Arabidopsis thaliana: one gene and its partner. The protein of the gene in region 1 interacts with the protein of each later gene in a pairwise test. Each region holds a gene or a part of one and is shown in the gene's direction. Other genes may lie near its edges.

What was found. Proteins that work in one complex are often made in the same cells at the same time.
Region 2: the proteins of TRM19 (region 1) and MAP70-2 interact in a two-hybrid assay, tested with the Arabidopsis thaliana proteins (one large-scale study listed by BioGRID).

The regions. Positions count from the first base shown.
Region 1 is NC_003074.8:19,844,872-19,853,573, reverse strand, and holds TRM19 (afadin), read left to right. Parts: upstream 1-3,182; 5' UTR 3,183-3,596; coding exon 3,597-3,854; intron 3,855-3,951; coding exon 3,952-5,775; intron 5,776-5,847; coding exon 5,848-6,028; intron 6,029-6,164; coding exon 6,165-6,769; downstream 6,770-8,702. Other genes in the region: NAKR3 (Chloroplast-targeted copper chaperone protein), read right to left, coding at 6,991-7,151, 7,685-7,766, 7,872-8,375.
Region 2 is NC_003070.9:8,759,500-8,766,659, reverse strand, and holds MAP70-2 (microtubule-associated proteins 70-2), read left to right. Parts: upstream 1-3,190; 5' UTR 3,191-3,226; coding exon 3,227-3,668; exon of another isoform or gene 3,669-3,742; coding exon 3,743-3,828; intron 3,829-4,319; coding exon 4,320-4,385; intron 4,386-4,472; coding exon 4,473-4,643; intron 4,644-4,741; coding exon 4,742-4,912; intron 4,913-4,996; coding exon 4,997-5,152; intron 5,153-5,240; coding exon 5,241-5,387; intron 5,388-5,501; coding exon 5,502-5,573; intron 5,574-5,661; coding exon 5,662-6,201; intron 6,202-6,311; coding exon 6,312-6,499; intron 6,500-6,616; coding exon 6,617-6,659; downstream 6,660-7,160. UniProt on the Arabidopsis thaliana protein: Plant-specific protein that interact with microtubules.

The DNA.
Region 1 (8,702 bases):
CTAATTTAGCCTCATGCCTTGAAGTCCTGTGTGAAGATTTTTGCATAAGATACACACAACAAAATCTAACAAGATTGTGAGTGTTTGTAAATAGTAGATTATGTTCGACCAGTTATTTCATGGAGAAGGAGACGTTTGACATATCAACAAGACAACAAGCCAAAGACAAAATCTGTGAACATGGACAAAACAAAAAATAATAATATTCTTTATATACATATATTAAATTAATTTACGGTGGTATAAATATTTACGTAAATACTATGGAATTTTAGGTCAATCTCATTGTTTCTCTTTTTATTATTTTTCTTAAAACAATTACGGTAAGAGTTTTAGGGTTATAGATCTATTTTCTTACATCTACATAGGCCATAATGAATCAAACGCATAACCGTTTCATGAGCATCGACTACATAGGTCAAGGAATCTGCTTTACCTTTTTTTTATTTGTCTTTTGTTACTGTTTTTTTCGTATTTTTTCTACGCCTGATAACTTTTCCCAATTAAATACTACAACTTGCATGTTTATTTATTTAGCTTTAATATGGTTATTAATTGGTACTTTATTGACTTACGAGTAGTCACGAAGACGAATCTTAGCTTGTCCATGCAGCTGTACTTAACTCTAAACATTGGTTTTTGTCAACAACGTTTTTCGGTTTTACAAATTGTTCATTCATATAATAATCAAATGTTAGCTAAAGCTGCTAATCGAAGAAAATAGTATTTGTGCTATACACGCATGTCCGAATAATACTTTTTCTTTCGTTTAATAAACCGAAATAATACCAATTCTTCAATATATAATCCTTTCCTGTAGATGTAGTTTTGGAAACGTTCCAAATTTAGTCCAGTGGTACTTTATAATACAAAAGTTGGAAAAACGTTTAGGTTTTGTGACCTCGGTGGTCTAGCTATTACAAAAAAAAACCAAGAAATTGAATTTATTTCGAACCATCATATTCAGTTTTGTTTCACTGATTGTAAAAAGAACAACAATCATAAAAGTAATGATATGTGTGTAGGCGTCTAGGTGATCTATCATCTATGGATGCATCAACGTCTAAAAAACCTCCATAAATCAAGGAAGACATGAAAAATTGAAAGTTAAAGATTTATTTGCTTTTATATTTTGTTCTTTTCTATTCGATTTTTTTTTTCCTTTTGATTTTTTTTTTTTGTTTGTCTTGCGGCGAATAAATTTTGAAACTACACTCTACACACATTTGTGCATATATGATCTTTATCTTATGTTCTTCTCTAGGAGATAAATAAAGAGACTATATAGTCAATTCATGATAGTTAGTAAATGCAATTAATGCGTGCATATAGTATGTGATTAATTAGCAAAACATTATGCATTAAAATTATAATCTAACCGTAAATTTAATACGAAGTAACTTCAAGTAAGTTAGCGGTTTGTGTTTGGAAAAATGTTTCATAGTCGTCATTAAACCTGTTTTTTTTGAGCAATGTGTCAGATTAATTATCTTGAAAGCGAAGGCTGTAAGAATTTCTGTCATTTTCTACTTATAGTCATATTTGGTGAGCTCACGAACTAACCCTTTATTAGGGACTTGAAAGGTTCTACTATTTGTCACTGTTAGTATACATTTCGAATTTTTTATGAGCATAAATTTTTGTTTTTCTGTTTTTTCGAGTAATTAGCATAGATTTAAGAGGATAAAGGACCATATAGTTGAATAGATTTCAAGTCTTGCTTAACCTAATCTTCTCTAGGAAGAGACTTGTAGACAAGAGACTTCAGTCAGAGGTTAATATAAAATATAGATGACTTAGAAACATTCTTAAATCTGAGATAAGGGTAAAATATTTTTAAAATTTTATTTTAACTCACTTTTTAGAGGAAACAAAAAACAGGAATAGAAAACTTAAGCCATAATTCTATTAAGTTAAGATTATATGTCGGTTTGTATTTATAAAAGAATGGTTAGTGTTAGATTTTATAATTAATTCAATTTAAGAGGTTTCAATGAATTATTTTTATTTATTTAGATAATATTAATTATTTTAGTTAGATTAGATAGTAAAATTTAATTGGCTAATTAAAAGAAAAACTTAAGGTTATTAATTTTTTTGTTAATGTGTTCTTAATTTATTTTGTTTTTTGTTTTTAATATTTAGTTTCTATTTAAGTGTTGTATAACATGACATAATAATTAATTTAAACTAAAAAAGGTGAATACAAATGTTCACTCCTAGATTGAACCTAAAAATTGTCCCGAAAGAAAATATCGTTTGCTATATAGATAGAAGAAGAACATAATACAGAAAACTTGGTTATTTATTCTAAACTTGGTTATAAATCTTGATAAATAATTCCAACTTTGTTGAAGTTTGTTTTTACGGTACCAATTTGTTGGTTATTGATTGTATACTGTAGTACTATTTCTTTATTTTTTAGAAAAGAAATCCGACGGTACGACAAAAGAAGAAGAAGGAAAATGGAAGGGGAGAGACAAGTGGCAGCAATTCACGGATACACAGAACTCAGTAAGTTTTTAAAATAGTACCAAACACGCCCCCCTTTACTAAACTTCAAAAAAAAAAAAAAAGATTAAAAAAATTTGAACTTTCAAATAAACTCAGAAGCCATTTCCCATTTCCTCTTTTCTCCGTCGTCTCGTCTGGTTCGCTCTTCTCTCTCTCTCTCTTTCACTCAATTTCTTCTCTAATCGTTTAATTTCTTCTTGGGTTCCTTCTCTTCTCTTAGATCTCCCCGTAATCCCAGAGAATCGTCTGCATTTCTTCTCACGAGTTAGATTTCTCTAAATCTTCCTCTGATTTTCTCTTACCCAGTGAATTTCCAGACCTAGATTCACCTCTCCGTGCTTTTTCCTCCGAATGAAATGTTTTCACCGGAGATGAACAGTGAGTGAAAGATGAACAGATTTCGACTCAGCGACCTCAGTTCTCGAGATCGATTAGCTTCAACACTGCCCACTTCTCACCAAGGTCACAGCTTTTCTCTCTCACGCTTTTTTCTTACACAACCGTTTCTGATTGGTTGAAGAGAAACCGCCGATTTGATGCGTTTTCGTTTGTTCTAACATAGAACTCGAATTTGTCAATTTAGAGCAAATTGTGTATTTTTTGTTGGTCAATCAATTTTATAAATATTTTAGTTAAAAGGTTCTGAGATTTTCTGAGCAAACCAAAACAAAAGCAATTACTGATGTCTTTTTGTTTCCTTGTTCGGGTTGTTCGAGAGTCTCTCGTAGTGAGGGAGGTCATCAATACCACAATTGGTTACTTCTTAAACTATAGAGAAATGTATTTTTATAAAATCTTGAGCTACAAAACAAAGAAATGTTTATTTGTTTCTTGTGGAAAAAAAACTATAGTTTTAAAGCAGTGGGTAGAGAGAAGAAGAAGATTACAGATTGCTACTCTCTTTTTTTTTTCTTTTCTTATAATAATAAAGTAAAGAAAAGCTTTTTTAGAAAAAATTATCAGGGCAGTGTTTGTTGGGGTAGTAGTACTGTCATGATTTGGTTGTTTGTTAAAAATTTCTTTTTTTTCAACAGATTTAATGATTTAGATTTACATGTAATGAGTGTTTTTGCTTAACCTCAATGCTTTATTGTGTTTTTTATCTTCTTCTTCCTCCACTTATTGTGCTACAATTTACTCTTTTTGTCTCCCAAGTTTCCATTTTTTTTATTAAAGTTTCTTCCGTTGTCGTAAAGTTGATTGCTTTATTATCAATTGAGAATCCTAAAAAGTCATTCATTTTTTCAGGAAAGAAACAGAAGAGTCAGAAACTCAAATCTCCAAGGTCTTCTTCTCCTGAATTTAACTCTTGTCATTGTGAAGCTTTGAGTGAAAACAAGGTATGTATTATTTACTCTTTTAAGATATCTGACTGGAAATGTTTGGTTCCTGTTGTTGTTGTTTGAAAGTGACTTGTTGCTCATATTGCTGTTGCAGCAAGATTTTCCTACTGGAGTACCGATGAAAAGTTTGTTAGCACAAGAAATGTCAAAGCAGAAAGAATCTAAAAAGAGATCGCCAAGCATTATAGCGAGATTGATGGGTCTCGATGTTTTGCCTTCTCAGAGTTCTTCTCATAAGCAACAAAAGTCTATGGAGAATCAGCAAGGCAGGAGTGGTGGAGGCACTTCTTATAAATCTCTTGGAAAGCGCTCAAAGGGTGAGCAGAAGTTTAAAGATGTTTTCGAAGTTTTGGATGCAAAGATGGCAGAGAGTAACAGAAACTTATATCATCAGGGGAGGGTGAATGCTAATCTAACACAGGCGGAGATGGCATTCATACGGCAGAAGTTCATGGAGGCTAAGCGGCTATCAACGGATGATAAACTTCGTCATTCTAAAGAGTTTAATGATGCTCTTGAGGCTCTAGACTCTAACAAAGACCTCTTACTGAAGTTTCTTCAGCACCCAGATTCATTATTTACAAAACATCTGCATGATCTTCAAAGCACACCTCACAAGCCACAGTACAGTCAAGCACCATCCTTGAAGTCGCCAAACAGTCAGAGGCATGTGGATAGTCTGAAAACTCAGAAAGTTGATAGGGACTTGTTGAGGAAGAGTCATCGGTCGCCTCATCGGAATGGTGGTGGTGGTAGTGGTTGTCCTAGCCGTTCTCATACTAGGCATGCTTCTTATGACACGATTGACTTACCAAATGAGGAGCTGAGAAAGAGGAGTGAGTTGCAGCCAACCAAGATTGTTGTTCTGAAACCTAACCTCGGGGAGCCACGTTATGCTGCTAGAACTTTTGCATCGCCAAGCTCTTCTTCCGATGAGTTCAGAGCAGATCGTAGGCTTCCATGCACCACCACTCATGGCAGGCAGAAAAGTAATGAAGATGTCCGCCTGTCAAGACAGAATTCAAGAGATTGTGGAGAAATGGCCAAAATAATGTCTAGGCAAAGGAAGGTGAGCTGTGGCAATGGTCGTGCCATGAGTTTTGAGACTTCAGGATTTAGAGGATATGCAGGGGATGAAAGCTCATCAGGGAGTGACTCCGCAAGTGAATCAGAGCTAGTGCCAGTAACTTCAGGAACAAGAACCGCCTTCAACCGTAGGAACTACCATCGATCTTTGCCTTCCAAGTCAACAACATCATCTGTGAGTAGGGAAGCTAAGAGGAGACTGTCAGAGAGATGGAAGCTGACACACAAGTTTGAGCACGAGATAGAAATTAGTAGAAGTGGGACATTAGCTGAAATGCTTGCCACTTCAGATAGGGAGGCAAGGCCAGCAAGTTTTAACGGACTCAGTTTCGAAGATGGGATTAGTAAAAGATTTGAGAACAACATTCAGTGGCCTGAACTGCCAGAACCAGTTGGAATCAGCAGTAGGGATGGTTGGAAAGGATCCTGCTCAAGAAGTTTTTCAAAATCCAGAACCATCATGAACCAGGAGAGCGCTGGTGGTTACACCATAGTGTTGCCTAAGGGGTTGATCAATCGAGATGCATTAGTGCAGGGGGATTCTTCTCATCACGGAGAGTCTTTCTTGTCAAGCAAATCTAGACCTGGCAGTAACAAATCTCATTCATCATACAATAGTTCGCCAGAGGTCAGCATCACCCCAAGTTTAAGCAAGTTTGTTTATATGAACGACGGGATTCCAAGCAAGTCAGCATCTCCTTTTAAAGCACGTAGCAGTTTCTCAGGAGATGCAAATTCAGACACTGAAGATAGTTCAGCTTCTGATGATATCAAGACAGCAATGTCTTCTGAGGCTCTAGATTTGTCAACTGTCACCTCGGTAACTGACCCTGTAAGTGAGCATGAGTTTTGAATATACAGGTTGTTATAATCACATATATCTTATTGTTTACTGATGTTCTAGGATATCTCAAGGAGGACAACTGAGGATGTGAATCATTCTTCGGTTCCTGATCCACCACAGCCTCGTGAAAGCTCAAAGGAAGGAGATCAACCAAGTCCGGTTTCAGTTCTAGAAGCTTCGTTCGACGATGATGTATCATCAGGTTCGGAATGCTTTGAGAGTGTTAGCGCGGATCTCCGAGGTAGTCAATCAGTGCTTGCTAGTTCAGTAATTCTTTCATGCATTAAAATATTTTTGTATCACAAAAATTGATTCGGGTAGATCCACGGGGTAACTATAAATGTTTTGAGGTGTTAACTGTTATCTCTACGTTCCAGGACTCAGAATGCAACTTCAGCTCCTCAAACTAGAGTCAGCTACTTACAAAGAAGGTGGCATGCTCGTTTCGAGTGATGAAGACACTGATCAAGAGGAGTCATCCACAATAACTGATGAGGCTATGATTACCAAGGAGCTCAGAGAAGAAGACTGGAAGTCATCATACTTAGTTGATCTCCTAGCCAACTCCAGTTTCAGTGACTCAGACCACAACATTGTCATGGCAACAACACCTGTAGAGCCATCCTTGTTTGAGGATCTCGAGAAGAAGTACTCCAGCGTGAAAACCTCAACCCGGTTAGAAAGAAAGCTTCTTTTTGACCAGATCAGCAGAGAAGTACTACATATGTTAAAGCAGTTGTCGGATCCACACCCTTGGGTTAAATCCACAAAGGTATGCCCGAAATGGGATGCAAACAAGATACAAGAGACTCTGCGAGATTTGGTCACAAGAAAAGACGAGAAACCAAGCAAATATGATGTGGAGGAGAAGGAGTTGCAGTGGCTGAGTTTAGAAGATGACATTGAAATCATAGGTAGAGAGATTGAGGTAATGCTGACAGATGAACTCATAACAGAGCTTGTGGTAGGTGCAATCTTCTAGAAAGTTAAATAATCTCTTTGTTACATAGTTTAAGGGAAGGAAACAAAAAAAAAACACCAGGATAATGCAGTATGTAATGACAATTTTATCATAAAGAAGCATGTGTCCCTGTAATGACAGTTTAATCATAAAAGTAGGAAAGTCCACATTTTACGATTGATCTGATTCAAGCAAATAAGAGCTAGGAAGACAACACAAATACACAAAAGTGAGTGGTTCTTTTAGGTTTCCGGATTTGCCCTTGGGATTGATGGTGGAGGTGGTGTCCAGAATTGGGCATTTTTGACCTTTGAGAGGCAACCCAATACTTCCAAAGGAGTGATGTCTCCAGTCACAGTTACCTTCTTTGATGCAAAATCTATGTTGAAGGATGTCACACCTACTTATTGCCAAAAAAAAAAAAAAAAAACCATTAGCATGAACTTTAACTAAATCCATTTACAAACTATTTCATAGATAAAATCTATGGATTTGGCCCAAGTCATTTGGGTATCACCAAACCCAAAATATCTTTTTTACTTTACCTTAAATTATCATATATAATATCTTCAAGATATTGTAAATAATATTATATTTTTGATATTTTATAGAAACTTTAACAAAAGTATTATATCAGAAATATCATTTTTCACCTTTTTTGAATATGAAAGAGATAATTGTAGAAACATGATCAGATCGGTTACACACTTGCACGTATAGTGACAATGCATTATTACCCATTAAGGCTATAGGTCCCGTACCCAACTTAAAACCAAAAAATGTGTTTGCACTAAAACTTGCTCATAGTTAGATAATTTGATCTCTTATACTAACCTAAGTAAAATATGTATTGCTGTTTTTGATAAGAAAAGCAAGTAAAAGAAAAGTAAATACTGTAACAATAGAGGGTAAGAACAGTGAGAACAGAGGATTCACCTTGCATTTTGGATAGATGTTTCTTCACTTTGCCTTGACAGCCTCTGCAGTGACAGTGGAGAGACACTCTAAGAACAACTACCTGCAGTCCAAAAAATACAACACAAATCACCCTCCAAGCTCTCTTTATTAACATTCATGCCATCCGTACACAGTAAAAGTAAAACGACAACTTTACTTTACTTGCCTGGTCTGAACCTGAACCAGAAGACTTCTTCTTCTCTTCTACGGGACCAGAAGAGCCTCTTTTTGGCGCAGAAGCTTCACTTTCCTCCGTTGCAACCGTATCCTGACCCGTAGACCCGGCTAAAGAAACAGGGTCGGATCCCAGAAGATACCTAGTTGAACCAGGAGGAGTTTTGGGTGTTGCAACAACACAGCCAAAACTCTTCCTCGCTAAGCTGACGTCATAGCTAATCAGCTTCATCAACGACCCTGAATTGCTTCTCCGTCCTTTATCTACCTGAACACTCTTTCCATCGCCGGAGGAGGAGGGTACTCTCGTAATTTTCGAAAGCTGACGGTAGGGAGCAACGTAGTCGTCTCCGGAGGAACACGGTGCCGTGAAAGATCTACGACCATCTTTGATAATCGGGTTATGACGGTCGATGGCTCGAGCGGTGACGGTACGTTCGCCGTTAGCCGTAGCGGTCGATGCTTGCGATGCACAATAAAACATACCGGCTTTCATGTATTTTTGGCAAAACAAGAGCTTATTAATATATACAAACAAAAAGCAAGTCACATATATATTTACGTTACATATATACCAATATATATACGTGTAAATTGATAAATATGCGTCAGTGTGTCACATGAGTGTGTTAGTGTGTGTAAGGTCAGAGAGTAACAGAGAGTTGAGTAGAAACGCTCTTGTATTGTCCACATAAAACGTATTAGAAGTTGAGATGTCACTATTGGGATATTTATGTACTACATTACATTATTCTCTTGGATATATTCAAATGTTGTGTATTGAATTCGACCGATCAGTTTCTGTTTCAGAAAGTCGAATTAA
Region 2 (7,160 bases), on another chromosome or scaffold:
CCTTCAAAGACACGCCACGACCAATATACCCTAATTTGAAGTCCAAAGTGGCATCAATAATCCTCCATGAATTGGAGTTAATTTCATAAATTTGGAATTCGTGGTCGTAGCCAAAACCAGTGTGTGCCAATATATTGTAGCTATTATTTTGGTAGGATCCGAGAGTATAGTTGTCATATAAGTCATGGGTTGAATCCACCTTGTTTGACCAGTACACGGGTTCCATACCGCGAGCCAAGTATTGTCCTCCTTGGTGACGCAGACGCATAACAATAAGCCGTCGCAGTGAGAGACTTTATATATCTCGAATTGATCTTGATCTAGACAACTAGGATATTTAGGGTTGATTAGGGTAAATTCAACTGTGACTTTTACATGTGGAAGTCTATGGAGATCGACACTCATCGAGCGTACCCTAAGCCCTTTAGACATGTGAATCAGAAACTGCTTTGGGCCTTTATCCAAGTGTTTTCTTGTGAATCTCCTATCCTTGAATAAACAGTTCCATCCTTTGCAAGTAGACCCTAACTGTTTCAAAGACATAGCTGGAACGCGGTAGAGTATCTCTTCTAACAAATGCTCTGGAAGTTCCGACATCATTGTCGTTTGATCAAATGTTGGTTAGGGTTTTGTATAGTACTTCACGTTTATATAAATCCATGCTCAGGCGACGAACAATTTAAGTTACTTTTACGGCAAGTCAACACTCTTTAATTCGTTTCCTATAAAAAGCGTCTTTCTTATTCTCTTCAATCTTCAATATATGAAAGAGCTGAGGAATATGGAAATGAAAGACCCGAAAAAATGGAATATGCACATTATGACAAATCACTATGTAAATGTTTGATTTACTTAGTGAAAAGTGCAACATCTTAACTTAATAAAATTATCTTATACCATCTTAACTATTTTTTTTTAGTTTTATTTTCTTTTAGGATTATGCTTCGTTTAATTAAATTGTTCACACTGTAAGGTTGGACTGAATTCATAGTATATATTTATAAAAATGCAAATTCTTACATGCATGAGGATGAGGAGAGAAAATAAAACACAATCCTAATGGAACCCATAAATTACGTTACCACCCTTTAAACAAAACTATATTTCATAACAAAAGTAAACATGCGTTGTGAAATAATGATAGGATAGGCATATATTAAGGAGTGGTATTAGGATCAAAGTCTCTAGACTCCACTCGTTTTGTCTGATTCTTCAAGGCATAGCAAAGAAGTGGCACATGGGTTCACGCAGCTTTCTTCCTTGCTACCCTTTTTCCTTTTTTTCCCTTTATTTTATCCTCCTCTCTCCTTTCAGATTTATTTGGTGATGTACGTTACGGTAAAATATGGTTACATACTTAATTACATGGACGACTTTTATTTATGTGTAAAACTATAATAAAGTCGTAAAAATCAGTGGTTTGAAAAACAGTTAAGAGTTTGCGGTATCAAAAACTTAGTACTTAGTCGGCGGTACAAAAGTTTATCATGAAAAAATAACGAGGTTAAAAAATGGCATGGACTTCAAATATAACGTCTCCGAAATATGAGAGAATAATTTTACTTTTGGGTAATGGAGTTCATCTCTCCCTAAATGATGCCCAAAACGTTGTATTCATAAGAAAGTACGTTTCTCGAATTTAGATGTTGCATTATGGTACCAAAGTGGTGGTATACCATATACATATCCAGCATTTCACATGAACCATATGTGTATTAATTAGGTGCCATATGCAGCTAGTCTTTCTACTACACGCCATAGAAGTAATACGTATTTAATTATGTATATCGATATATGTAATGCCTTAAACTATGTGATGTGTCCAATCACGTATTATCATCTATAATATGCGTTTGTTCCTTTTGCATTTAGTAGACACTGAGATTCGCATGATACGTTAAACCGAATCTCATAACTCTATATGAATCCAAGGTCCACATACTCACTAGTCACTACAATTGACTAGTTTATGGTAGCTGAAATTGATCACAACGTACCTAATTCCGATTTCTATATCTAGTGTACGTATTGATATTCTTAATTTAGTAATAGTTTTGGAAAATATAATCTGAGTTTAGTATATTCGTTGTCTTTGTTACTTTTAAATTTTAATAATAGTCTAAATAGATCTATATTTTATCGAAAGGTCTCGTTGTAGTGGAAGCATGTGAGTACGGAATACTGATTAAATAAAATACCTGTTAAGTAAAGATTGCAGAATTTCCGACTTGAGGAATATCAAACTGTATAAGCTGCTTAATGTGTACTTCTTGTATCTGGGAAAAGTATCTATTTTCTTTCTGTAAATTTAAAGAAAAGTTTCAGACACCATCCTGTTTTTATACATTTGAACTACCCACCTATATAACTCGCATTTAACCACTTTACTAAAATAACCTATATAAACATATAATTTTAATGGGTGGAACAAATGTTTTGTTGTCAACAAGGTTAACATGCTTCTATTGAACAAATACATATATGAAAATAGTCATATAGTTATTTATTCCTAACTTAGGCTAATAATCTCAAGTGATCTTTAAGAATAGGATTCTAAAATATGAGTAGAATAGGTCATAGGTGTTAAGATTCATATACTTTTCTTATTGTTGTCCATTAGAAGTAGAACCAACCAACCTTACTTGAGAAAAAAGAGAAGAAGCATTATCCCTCGAAAAGAGAAAAAGCGAAACAAAGATATTTGGGACATCGAACATTTTCCCTCTTTTCATGGGCAAAGCATTTAAATCTAATCTTCACTAATTACTAGTTATACCTTTTCCTTACTAATTATCAGACAATTGAACATATTGACCAAGTCAACATATTTTATCTGTAATAATTAATTATCTACCTTACAATCAAAAGATGAATTCACAACTAACTAAATAAATCACAAGAAAAAATACCAGAAACAATTCCATGACATTAATACTCAATAAACATTCAACTAAGTGTCTGCTACAAAAAACTCAGGTTTATTTCTCATTATTACTTTTGTGTTTATTATTTTTTTGTAATAAAGATGCACACCAAGAATTAACTTTTTGAAATAAACAATATTAGAAGAGATCCAAGCGACAAAATTCACTGTAAGCTACTAAAGAAAAATAGTAGAAAACATAGTACTACTACTTAATTGTCTAATTTGCTTACTAATTAATTAGTTTATTGACTAATCAGAAAAAGTAACATGTTTGAAGTTAGTGTTTAAGAATTAATACAAATGTTGCGTCATCATCTCTCGCTGTCTTGTCAAATCTGTAACTGCATATTTATTTATAAATCTCTCTTCTCTTTACTCATTCTCTTCTCTCTCACTTTCTCAAACAATCTCTCTCTCTGGCATTTGGATTTGGAAGTGCTTTTTGTATATATATCCAACAAAGGAATCAGATCGGAGATGTCGGATGTTTCCGGTGACGGAGATTTATCGGCGACGGTTACTGAACATGAAGTAACTCCACAACCGCCGGTTTCTTCGGCGACGTATCCGTCATTAACGGTGTCGGCGTCTTACAAAGAGAGCAGCGGAGGTAAAAGCTCGTCGAAGAGGAGACCAATAAGGCCGAGTTTCGACGCTGCGGCTGATAATGAGTTTATTACTTTGCTTCATGGCTCGGATCCAGTGAAAGTGGAGCTTAATCGACTAGAGAATGAAGTTAGAGGTCTGATAATGCTGTTCGATTTTTTTATTTTTTGTCGATTCGGTTTCTGATTATTGGTTGTTGGGGGGATGTAGATAAGGATCGGGAGTTAGGAGAAGCAAACGCTGAGATCAAAGCGCTTAGGTTGTCTGAGAGACAAAGAGAGAAAGCTGTTGAAGAGGTTTGTTTGTGTCTGAATTTTGCTATTTTTGTCTGAAGCTTTTTCACATTTTACCAATTCTTAATCATTTCTTGATGTTTTGGTAAATTATCTCCATTTTTGGTTAAGCCAATCAATAATGGTTGATAAATTTCACACATTTAGCAATTTCTCAGGGACGATTATTAATCTCTACATTTTTGGTTCAACCAATCAAATAATGGTTGATGAATTTCACATCTGGGTCACTTTATTTTACTACAAAGTCTTAGTTTCCTTGTTAGTTGAAGAAATAATTTATAATGAATTTAGGTGCATTTATCGTAGTGTGGTATTTGGGCAATGTGGTTGGAGAAGAACATTCAGAATTTAACTTTGCCTTTTAGTTTTGATCAATTATAACATCATGTGTTTGTTCTTGACTTTTATGTTTTTAACAGTGGGATTTTTTATTTACACATTCTCTTCTTGTGGAATGAAGTTTCCTCTATGTTTTTTTGTTGTTGTTGTAGCTTACTGAGGAGCTTACTAAGTTGGATGAGAAGCTCAAGTTGACTGAATCCATTCTCGAAAGCAAAGTATTGTTCGATAATCTTTCCTTGGTTCGATGATGTTCACCTTTCGTTTCTTAAGCTTATAGACATATGATATCAACCTTGCTGCAGAATCTAGAAATCAAGAAAATCAATGAGGAAAAGAAAGCATCAATGGCTGCTCAGTTTGCTGCTGAAGCCACTTTAAGAAGAGTCCATGCTGCTCAAAAGGATGATGACATGCCTCCTATTGAAGCCATCCTTGCTCCATTAGAAGCTGAACTTAAGCTTGCACGATCAGAGGTATATTGTCATTTTAAGTCTAACTGCTTGCTGTTTACTTTCATATGGGATATTGAAAGTTTATGAGGTCACTGATCAAATCTCTTGTATCTGTGTAGATTGGAAAGCTTCAAGAAGATAACAGGGCTTTGGACCGTCTGACTAAATCAAAGGAAGCTGCCTTACTTGAAGCTGAGAGGACCGTTGAAGCTGCCATGGCAAAAGCCGCTATGGTTGATGATCTTCAGAATAAGAACCAGGAGCTAATGAAGCAAATTGAAATCTGTCAGGTTCTGTGGTCGCCATCTTGTTCTTTGTATTTACTTAATCTATGGATTTGCCAACAATCTGATTAACTTTATTTTCTGTTTTAGGAAGAAAACAAAATTCTAGATAGAATGCATAGGCAGAAGGTTGCTGAAGTGGAAAAGCTTACTCAGACAGTACGAGAGCTAGAAGAGGCTGTTCTTGCAGGTGGTGCTGCTGCAAATGCCGTGAGGGATTACCAGCGGAAATTTCAAGAGATGAATGTAACTAAACACACTTCATAAAGTCTCTAATTTCTTGTCACAACAATTGCCTACTGATGTAGGAATAATTCTTGTTTTTGTCTTTCAGGAAGAGCGGAAAACTCTTGACCGGGAGCTTGCACGTGCAAAGGTTACAGCAAACAGAGTTGCCACTGTGGTAGCAAATGAGTGGAAAGATGGTAATGATAAAGTGATGCCTGTGAAGCAATGGCTCGAAGAACGAAGGTTTCTACAGGTTTACTTTGATATGATGGCCCCTCTCCTAGATTCTTAGGACGCAAATTATTTGCAGTGAGCAAGGCCCATCCATATCTACATTCTCACTTCTTGATCCTCAACTTTTTTGCAGGGAGAAATGCAGCAACTTCGTGATAAGCTCGCCATAACAGACCGGGCTGCAAAATCCGAGGCACAGTTAAAAGTAACAAATCTTATCCATTAGTCAGCTTCTTTCAGTTGATCTTGTTACACAGAACAAGAAGTAATATATTTTGTTTGTGCAATTTCAGGAGAAGTTTCAACTGCGGCTTAAAGTGCTTGAGGAGACACTTCGAGGAACTTCAAGCAGCGCCACCAGGAACACACCCGAGGCAAGAAGCATGAGTAATGGACCTTCTCGCAGGCAGTCGCTTGGTGGAGCTGAAAACTTACAAAAATTTACATCAAACGGTGCTTTATCAAAGAAAGCTCCAGCATCTCAGATGAGGCATTCATTGTCTATTAATTCAACTTCGGTGTTGAAGAATGCTAAAGGAACATCTAAGTCATTTGATGGAGGCACAAGATCCGTGGATAGAGGCAAAGCACTTTTAAACGGACCTGGGAATTATTCCTTCAACAAGGCTACTGATGACTCTAAGGAAGCAGAGTCAGGTAATGGGTGGAAAGAAAATTCAGAGGAGAAGCCACAAAGTGAAGACCCTGAAGCAGCAACTGAGGACAGTGTCCCTGGTGTTTTGTATGATTTACTACAGAAAGAAGTAGTTTCTTTGAGGAAAGCCTCTAATGAAAAGGATCAAAGCCTCAAAGACAAAGATGATGCCATCGAGGTAAGAGTTCTGTTTCTTTAAGTTCTGTTTCTTTATGCCATATTAATCTTGTTTAAAGAAGAACATTCTTGTTGTAAACGGAGGAAGTAATGATACGTTGATGTTCGTAGATGCTAGCGAAGAAGGTGGAAACATTAACAAAGGCAATGGAGGTTGAAGCAAAGAAGATGAGACGGGAAGTAGCTGCAATGGAAAAAGAAGTTGCTGCAATGCGTGTGGAGAAAGATCAGGACGCCAGAGCCAAAAGGTTTTCAAATAGCAAGAGCCCATCCAACACCGCCCAGATTCTTGCGGGAAGGTAGAGCTATGTGGTTTTTCACTTTGTATTACACATTTCATGGTTAGCTATAATGCTATATACTTCTTAGTTCATAATTTGGTATTCAAACTAAATTTGGAGTTTGGATTTGCGCAGAGCTGCTGGACGAAGTGGCGGGTTAACGAAGAGTACCCAGTGAAGGGAGATTCAAGAAAATAACAAGTAAAAGAATGTCCTTGGCTCTTGTTATTCAGCTGTTTTAACCTTATATCATGGCTTTTACTTTGTTTTTGTTTACCTCATGTGATTGGTTGTATCACCATATATAACTTAGCATGCTGATAATCCCATCCTCACACCTATAACCTAGTAAAAAGATAAGAAAGAGAGTTTGTGACATAGATTTGGTGTTAAAGTGGTTAGAGGGAGGAGAAGAAAAGCCGAGGGAGAGAGTGAGAGATGTTGACATTTTGGCTAACATTTTCATCTCTCTTTTCGGGAGTTAGTTTGTTTTTGGTGTATAGGTTTGGTATTTGGCTTCTCTAGAGCTTGTGTACCTCTGATTCCTTTTATTTGTTTGTTACTCTATTGCACTCTTTGTGTGATTTATTCGTTTGTATTTTGGGTTTGCTGATATATAATATATGATTTGATATATTTGAACAAATCACATCACAACAAGTACTCGAAGATTTCAAAT